Oryzias latipes: one gene and its partner. The protein of the gene in region 1 purifies or fractionates together with the protein of each later gene. This does not show direct contact. Links are inferred from orthologs where the notes say so. Each region holds a gene or a part of one and is shown on either strand. Other genes may lie near its edges.

Evidence for each region. Proteins that work in one complex are often made in the same cells at the same time.
Region 2: the proteins of fam192a (region 1) and psma1 purify together in Homo sapiens (affinity purification with mass spectrometry; 3 studies listed by BioGRID and IntAct, counting the BioPlex papers as one, with this or other methods). This does not show direct contact. The link is inferred for Oryzias latipes from reciprocal best matches to the Homo sapiens genes PSME3IP1 and PSMA1.

Annotation. Positions count from the first base shown.
Region 1 is NC_019864.2:25,012,718-25,017,289, reverse strand, and holds the start of fam192a (protein FAM192A), read right to left. Parts: upstream 3,136-4,572; 5' UTR 3,034-3,135; intron 2,501-3,033; 5' UTR 2,495-2,500; coding exon 2,368-2,494; intron 2,293-2,367; coding exon 2,194-2,292; intron 1,539-2,193; coding exon 1,417-1,538; intron 1,119-1,416; coding exon 979-1,118; intron 876-978; coding exon 787-875; intron 1-786. UniProt on the Homo sapiens protein: Promotes the association of the proteasome activator complex subunit PSME3 with the 20S proteasome and regulates its activity.
Region 2 is NC_019864.2:7,544,727-7,549,275, forward strand, and holds the start of psma1 (proteasome subunit alpha type-1), read right to left. Parts: upstream 3,188-4,549; 5' UTR 3,016-3,187; coding exon 3,013-3,015; intron 2,174-3,012; coding exon 2,129-2,173; intron 2,028-2,128; coding exon 1,926-2,027; intron 1,689-1,925; coding exon 1,585-1,688; intron 508-1,584; coding exon 419-507; intron 256-418; coding exon 185-255; intron 96-184; coding exon 1-95. UniProt on the Homo sapiens protein: Component of the 20S core proteasome complex involved in the proteolytic degradation of most intracellular proteins. This complex plays numerous essential roles within the cell by associating with different regulatory particles.

The sequences.
Region 1 (4,572 bases):
TTCCATCTCAGATCGTCAAGAATTTGTCAGTTTAGCTCCAAAAGTCTCCAACTAAACTCTGAAAACACGAATATGATCATTTAAGTCCCAAACTTGAATTCCAAATTGACTTAAGAGTTTGTGTCACATCTGTTTACCTTTTCAGTGCTGTTATATTGGAAAAATCTCTATTTCATCTCATTTTCTTGCACTGTTTTAAAAGTATTTAAAAGTAACAGAAAAGCCTGTTTTTGACTAACTTTTTTTAAAGGTTTTAGAGAATTTCTTTTCCTGCAAAAACAGTTGTAAAAACATGAAAAAGCTTCAGAAACACATAAGGTCAAAATAGAAAAATAGGTTTTGTAATAAAAATGAGGGGAAAACATCTTAGAAAAACATCTTAACATAAATAATTTATCGATTGAAGTTAAACTGAAGCAAGCTGTGCAAATTTAAAACAATTATTTGAAGTACTTTTGTAAAGAGCCTAATTACCTTCGTATGCATGACATCACTCAGATCTTCTATACTTCTGGTTGAGATTCTGGCTGCTTTTTTCCTGAGTTTCTCTTTATATCATTGAGGTTTTTTTTTTTTAAATGTCAAATATCATTTCTATGTTGACAACTGACTAAAGAGACTAAAAGGCAACAAGATCCTGCAGCTGTAAACCAACCCAAATCCCCCCTACTCCACCGTGCACCATGACCGTGTTTTTATCATTTCTGACAAACACGTCTCTCTTAGAGGAAGCAGCAGCTCAGTTTCCAGGGTAAATTCAGGAGCAGCAGCTTGGTTTCTGCTCACCTGTAAGTCTGTCTGAGTTTCCTGTCGCTGAGGCTTCTGTTGTTCCGTCCACTTTCTGCTTCTTGCTGTTTCCTGACGATTGTGACGAGCTGAACAAGAGACGGAAACAAGATCAGATTAAAAAAAAAAGGTAAGTAAGACAACAGGCTGAAGAAATCCAGTGAAGGAAACTTTTCCTCTTCCTCTGCGTACTTGCGTCTCTTCACAGCCCCGACTAATAAGTGTGCCTGAGACAGGTGGCTGGTCTTCGGCTCGGTCGCTGAAGCTTTGGGAGTAGACTTCTTCTCTGGCTCTCTGTGGCTCTCTGAAGCCGGCTGCTTCACTAAAGCGCTGTGAAAGCTCACCGTTAAGGAGAACAGAACAACGTGGAGATGTGGGGGGGGGGTTATCTCCTCTAATTGAAATGCAGAGACTAACACCAAATGCTGATCAAACCACGATCTTCATTTGCACGCATCAACATAAAAGGATAGGCTCCAGCAGCCCCATGTCCCCGAAAGGGACAAAACGGAAGAAGATGAACGAAAAAAACCATAAAAGATTCCTTATTACAAAAATCTGCTCACTAACAGATGTTGAGGCAATCATCAGGGATGTTATGGATTAACATAAAAAAGTGATGGAGGATATTCTGTACTCCAGCAGCTCCTGCTTCTCCTCATCCCTCCGCTGCTTCTCCACCAGGCTCTGCTGCCGTGAGACCTCATCCAAGAAGCTGCTCTCATCTTCATCCAATCCCCTCACCATGTTCCCTGTCACCATGGAAACACACCACAGAAAAGGGGCGGAGGCGTGTCAGCTCAGATATGACGCACAGTTATCATGGAGCATCATGAATAATCCTGAGCATCCTCTCCATCCTGTACTTGACGGTCAGCGGAGCGCCTGTCCCACGAGGCTAAGGCAGCTTCGCTGTCACACCAACCGCTACAGCAGATCCTTCCTACCTCACTCCACAGACTTTATAACTCATCATCCTTTTTGCCATACATAAACTCATTCGAAATCTGTTTTTCTAAAGCTGTTTCCAAACGGATTTTTTCCCCGATTGTCACTCGTTTGTTATTGAGCCTGTATCAATCGCTGCAACAACCGAATTTCCTCAGCTGGGATCAATAAAGTATCTCTATCGGTTAGAATTCTGGAAATGTGTCTCAAAAAGAACAACTCTGTGGTTCTGATTTAAACTATTTTTACATAAAGTGTTGGGTTTTTAAAATGTGTGGAGAAAAGGATGCTGCCATTAGGCTGTTTTTCAGTTTAATAAACAACAGCTTAGTTTTCTCCTGTCCATTTTTAAAAGTTTACTGGAAAAAGATTTCCTCACATTTCCTCCCATCAGTTCGTAAAAAGCAGCAAACTTTGAGTCTGATTCTGTTCTGTGAAGGATGGGAGTCAAAGACGCACTGAATTTAAACTGCTCCTCAAATTCCTGCTGTTTCTTGTCTTTCTGCTCCTGCAGCCGCTCAAAGAGCGAACGTGAGTCGTACTCCTCCTCTGGCGCCTCTGAGGAGCACAAACAAACCCGGGGTTAGGCCGACAGACAGAAGGCGCCAAGCGTCGGTTGCAGGATCTTCTCACCTTCCGGATCTTCAGGGTTCCGGACTTTCTCCCACTCCTCCTGTCTCTTCTTCCTCCTCTCATCAAGCTCTGTCTCGGACACAAACTTCCTGCTGAGGTCCACGTTTGTTGCTTCTGCTCCCGCCATGAAACCCTTCAAACAAACATGTTTACTACAGATTATCTACAGACCTGAGAGCGATCATCATCCTTATCCTCGCCTTTTCTTTAATAGGCCAACAATCTAAGTGTGTGAGTGACATTTCTCATAATTAGATAACATCCTTATCTGATAATGGACTTGTTGTTTGTGTTCAGATAAATTTAATAAAGTTCACTTTTCCTGCAGATTGGTTTCTGCAGCCAGAACACTAACCCATTCTGACTCAAACTAATCAACTCAGTTGTAGTTAGAAAACATTTAAAGCAGTTTTAAAAAAATCCAGAAATGTCACATCAAATGAGCTTAACATGTCAAATGTGACCGGTGTGATCGCACAGCTCGCTCCTGCAGGATTCCGGCTAGCTTGTTTAGCTCGGCTAGCTTTAATAATCCTCCAACGATCGAGGCAGAAGACGCGACATTGTCACGTTTTAAGAGGTAAACTTTCAGAAGCGAAACTGAAAAGCATTGATTTTAACGCTGAAATGTTTTAAAAACACAATTTGTTTGTGGCAGAAACTCACCACCGTAAAGGATCTAAATAGCACCAGACGGGTTGTGTTGCAGTAAAATCGTTCCGTCGCGACGCTGGACGAGCCAGATAGTTCCTATTAGGTTATAGTTTGAAACGAAACCAAAAAAACAATATTAAAAATACATTTTAAAACTATTCATTGAACTAGAAACAAAGTTTAAAAAAACTTTGATGTCAAATCATCAATAAAAATATATGTATTTTTATAGGGGATTTAATCTTATCGACTTATTGAATCGCATAACGTTAAGAAGTGTTCATTCTATTCTTGTGGTGACCACGAGATGGCGCCAAATACACACAACAATGGAGCCGGGAATTTTTTAATGCACATAAGTACACTGTGTTCACTTTATGCTTTTATTCCAAGATAAGGTACATTTACGACACATCCCTTTTAGATGATGTTGAGTGATTCAAAAATATTCTTTCTTAAATTTTTTTGAATAAATTTTTGGAAAAATACCTGAACTTTTTAAAATAATTTTACAAAATATTGTTAAACTATAAAACATAAATACCATATGTTTAAAATAAAAAAAGACAATTACTAATCTGATATTGCCGGACAACCCCCTTTAGATTTTTAATATCACATTATACTAGTTTAATTGGTTTTATAGGAGGGATGTCATGTTGTAAAACATCAATAATTTTGACTGTTTTTTTGTTGTAAAATCAAATTTCACTCTTACATTTGATCTCTTTCATCGGATTATGCCTTTTTTTTCCTCATCACATCATATAAATTGGATCAAAATTAAATCAAATTATTGTTATTAATCGTCTTCATATATGACTGCACTGAAATGTGCGCTTTGAATCATTTTAAAATAGGTTTTTGTCCATCTTTTCATCATTTTATTTGTGTTACCTATCCCAACTATATATCTACAAAAAACACATGTTATTGATTATTATTTTCATGTACTTTTAAATTGTTTGTTGCAAAATATTTTTGTAAAGATGAAATAAATTAATGTGTTTGTGTTTTCAACCATAATAGTTGTTGATGCATTTGTGATGATGAAACTTTTACTAACATTGTTATCATTAAAACTTTATAGATTATTGTAAAAAATAAAACTATATATATTTATTTTATATATTTATTGGCTGTCTATGCGGCCGTTCACGGAGGGGGAGGTTCCAATTATTAGCGTTTCCAGCATCCTGTTTTTGTACTCGGCCTATTTCTCATTGTCCATTGCCATCAGTTAGGGGGTGGGAGGTGTGAAAGGAGTGGGGGGCTAGGTACGGGGAGGGGGGCCCTATTTATTTATTTATTTTTATTTATTTATTTTTAAATCGTCAATGCTTGTTTTTATACTTTGTTGTGTTTTAATGTAAAGCACTTTGTGTTATATTTTTATATGAAAAGTGCTTTATAAATAAAGTTTGATTTGATTTGATTTTGGTTTGGGGTGATTTCTCAAGTTTTTCTTGGATTTTCTGTGGACATGTACTTTAGGGAAAATCTTTCAGAATATTTTCTCCACCTTTGGAGGACAAGATGTGTCTCCTAAAC
Region 2 (4,549 bases), about 17 Mb from region 1:
GTGCGTGCAGACTGGGAGCGCGCTCCGATGGACATGGCTTTGCAGTCAAAGTAATTTGCTGATGGACAGGTCTGGAAGATGTGAGGTCCCATGTCCTGAGTCAGAAAAGAAAAAACGGTTAGCTTTAGGTTTTTTTTTGTCTGAATGTAGAGAGAAATAAGATTAAAACCATGAGCGTACTCACATCATAGCCAGCAATGAGGAGTCCCACTCCGTAGGGCCTCCTTCCATACCTCTGTGTTGGGATTTGGGTTTCTGTAAACTCAGTCAAGGATCACTGCTGCCGTTTCCATTTCTGGAAGCAATCTAACAGAAAAGACCCAACTCCTGGTTGTCCAACTTAGTTTTACAAACTCAGCTTTTTCTTGTTTCTTGTAACGTAGCTCCTTGAACAGGAGAGTGTATTTTTAGAGGATACTGCTGCCGATTAAAGACACGAGGCGGGATGTGGGGAGAGGCCTGTCGAAGACAAATCTGGAGTCCAAGCACTCCTGACGCATGAAGTTACTGCAAGACAGAAAAGGTTTTGGTCTTCAGACAAAAGGCCGTTCTCAGGTTCGTGCTCAGCACTTGACTGTAGATGCTGCTAATGATGAGGCCAACAGCAAACATTCAGCTGCTTCTTCATCGTTACAGAACAGAGCTCCATACTGCAACGTTTGTTTGTTTCCGGATTCTGTAGTCCGGGCAGAGAATGAGAGCTGCCTGTTGGTTGTTTCTCATTATTAGAGAGGAGAAAAGTGAACTGGGCTCTCATCGGCTCTACAGGCAGTTTCCTGATTGGTTTTTCTGCTAGTCCTGTAAAAACACTGTCACAGTCATCAAGTCCACTAAACGTGAATGCATCAACTAGTTTCTCCAAGCTCTGTTCAAGACATCCGATCTTTAATACTTGAACTATTTTTAAGATGTTAGTCTGCAGATTTGGTGACTGCCTTAATGCATTTATCAAAACATAGGACTGTATCCATGACTACACCCATGTTTCTGGCCTAGTTGGTGGTTTTTAGATGAATAGATTGAAGCTCTATATGACATCAAACCACTTCTCTTTAGCCCCAAACACAACAAAAAGTGTCTATTCATCATTTTCCAAATATGTGTTTCTGCAGCTCATCGCTTCTCCAGTGGATGGATCAAACGCAGAGAACACTGTTCACCAATCCAGGAGCGTAGCTTTAACTTTCATTTTAAATACGACAAAATGTAAAAATGGATGCACTTAAAATGCGTGCAGGCAATGCGCATCTTGGCTGCAGTTTTTGTGCTGGTTGCAAGTAAATACATGCGAATAACATCAGCCAAGGCAATAACCTCAGTTTTGTGTTTGTTCAGCTGAAGTAATTGAGGCACATCCAGTCTTTCATATATTAAATACTTTTACCAAGAGCTTGTAGAGGGCCTTGCTCTCCTGTGATTTCTATATCTGTTTGTCATCTGTGTAACGCCATAAATTAACCAATGTTAGTGTTTAGATGTACAGTTGACACCCATGAAAAGTGACATTTCTCCCCAAACACAAGAAGTTTAACACAAGAAAACATGGAAAAAATGTTCAGGTCCATGGAAGTCGCTGCAACTCACCAGAGCAGCCGAGCGTCCGCCGTCAGTCCAGCAATGGAGATGCCAATGTGGTTATCAACATGAAGGATCTTCTTCTGGTGGGCAGCCAGCTCAGACTGGGCTCTCTGCAGACCAAAAAGGCACAACAGTAATGTGTGGTGTGTTACAGATCTTTAACGACATGTTTTAATTAATAAGAAAGACAGGAAAGTGCCGGCTAGTATGAATATTAATGGGTGTAACCAAACACTGTCATGGAGGTTAAGGCTCAAATAACACTAAAGGAGAGTTGAGCACGTGAAAAGAGCCGTTTCAGCGTAATGGAGGCTGGCAGCAGTTCTAGTCGTGTTGAGTGACGTTACCTTAAGTGCAACCAGGACCGCGTGAGTTCTGGACTTCAGTCCGACGGTTGCAGAACCTTGTTTCACAGCCTCCATGGCATATTCGATCTGATGAATGCGGCCCTGCGTTTGCACCGACAAACCAAACAGTCAAACTACACACAGCCGGACAAAACCAACACACAAACAACAACACACGCTCCAGTAAGTAAAGGGCAGCTTACCTGAGGACTCCATACCGTTACGTCGTTGTCGTACTGATTGCGGAACTAGGAGGGAACACAAACGCGCGTTATGATAATAACACAGCATCCTTCTCATGATCTACAGCCAGGCTTACATAGTTGTCCTGCATTAGTACGGTTAGTGTTCTCGTCTCTAGACTCCAAACCAACTGCACCGTGTTCGCGGTCAGAACGTCTCATAAGGATTGGAAGGACGCGTTTCAATTACTACAGACTGAATAATTAATCAACCTGTTCGTGTCATCCTCAAGAAAAACGATTGAATCCAGCAGTGGATGCAGCAAACCAGCTAGCTACCTGCTGCTTCTACTAATTTAGTTCGGTTCTTATTATCTGTAATAAAATCAAATGATTTAATATGAATATCATCATCATGATACGTGAAATGATCCCAATGGCTGTAACTCCATAACTGACGGACTACGTTGTGTTTTTAAATCTAGAAGAAAGCGAAGAGCTGAAGAAAAACGAAAGTGAAGACATGACTGGACTCCCGATGCTAACTTTTAGCTAGCTGTTAGGATTAGCTTGTTCGCAACAAGGTATTCCAAAAATATTACATTTCTAATCTGCTATTTGCAATGTTTTCTCACTATTAAACCTGTTTTACTTTAACAGTTTAAAGTACTTAACTAACTTCTATTGTTTAGAGTGAGCTAATACTTAAAGCTAATGTTAGCGGCTGTTTTGCTTACTCACAGTGCAGACCAACTTAGCTAAGCTAACTTTAGCATGGAAATATTTTAACAATTTCTTGAGGCTTAAAAAGTAACAGTTTAGGATCGAATGCGTTTTCTTACATTCCTAGAAACGTTTTCTGGTACCGAACGGAGGATTTGTCGTTAAATTTCCCTCACACTTACCATCTCTGCTAAAGTCTCGCTTCCTCCGCCTGCGCCGGGATCTCGATTTAGTTTCCTGGGTTCCTCGGCAGACGGCAGGGAAAAGCAGCAGAAAGCCGATTTCAAACGATCGATGATTTCAATGATCGATGCCTTTGAAGAGCCGAACAGAACCAGCAGAGCTATAGAATAGAGCAGAATAAAATAGAATAGAATAGAATAGAATAGAATAGAATAGAATAGGATTAAAACACAAACAAACAGACTCGTGGTTTAAATGTCAACATAATAAACAAAACACAAGTAATACGTCAGAATTAAAATACTAGTTAGACAATTCTTCTAAACTTTAAAAATATAAAAAAACGTTACTAACCTAATGGCGTCCATACCAGTTAATAGACTAATTAAAAACCATATTATTTAAAATATTGTGTAAGATGCTTAATACTTGGGCAAGACACTGAACCCCCACTGAAATACTTAATATTAATAATTCTTTTCCTTATTTTTTCCCTTTTTTTTCCTTTTAAACATTTTTTGGGGTACAAAAACCATCACTTTAAAAACAATAAACAATAATTTCACAAGAAACAAATTCTATAAAAGTCTTTATGGTCAAATAGTATCTAAAGAGTAAATGTTTTTCTATCAATTTTGATGTTTAATATTTTTAAAACAAGCATGTCTAGTTGTGCAACAGTACTAGGTTAAGCGTGAAACATGCATGTCTTTACCAAAGGAAAAGAAAATCCAAATGTCACTGCACATGCTTCAAACCAAAGATTGATTTCGGCATCTTATTCTGCAATGGTGGTATTTCATAATTTACTATCTGGACCACATGGTTGAGATGTGATTGTGCTAAAGACACTGATTTAATGACAGTTGTATCTGGACATGAAGAAAACTGTTAGTAGTTTTATTGTTCTAAAACTTTAATCAACTAAAACAAAGATAAAAAACAGTGCAGCAAACCTGCAAAAATCTGCAAATAAATAATAAAGTTTTGCATGATTTTATATTGTTTTCAGTCTGAATATTTCACCCTCTGGTGATTTTGTAGGAAGTTTGTGTTCAATTACTTAACGAGCTTTCAGAGCAGACAGGTTAAATTCACATCATTTCCACATCATCCCTGTAGTCTATTTATTTATTTGAAAGCTGATCTCTGAGGTGACCCCTGAAGGGATGTGCTGACAGGCGAACAACAGCAGCAGCATTTGTCATATTTGTGTTATAGTCACCGTTTACCCCGCTGCGGTTTCTTTACACATGAATTTGAAGAAGGAAAGCCGAGAAATGGAGAAAGAGGTTGCATCAACATTTCTTGGTAAAAAGAATCCTAAATAAAGAGTATTGAAGCAAAACAAAACAAAACAATGTTATTAATTCCAACGTCAGGGTTGACTGTTTCTTCATTCAAGTTTGTATTGTGGTAACAACTTTTTGGGGGGATTAATTTATTGATTTTATCTTCTAACATGCAGATACAATTCCAGCAAGGAAATACTGTTTAAATAATAAAAAATAAATAAATAAATAAATAAAAACATTA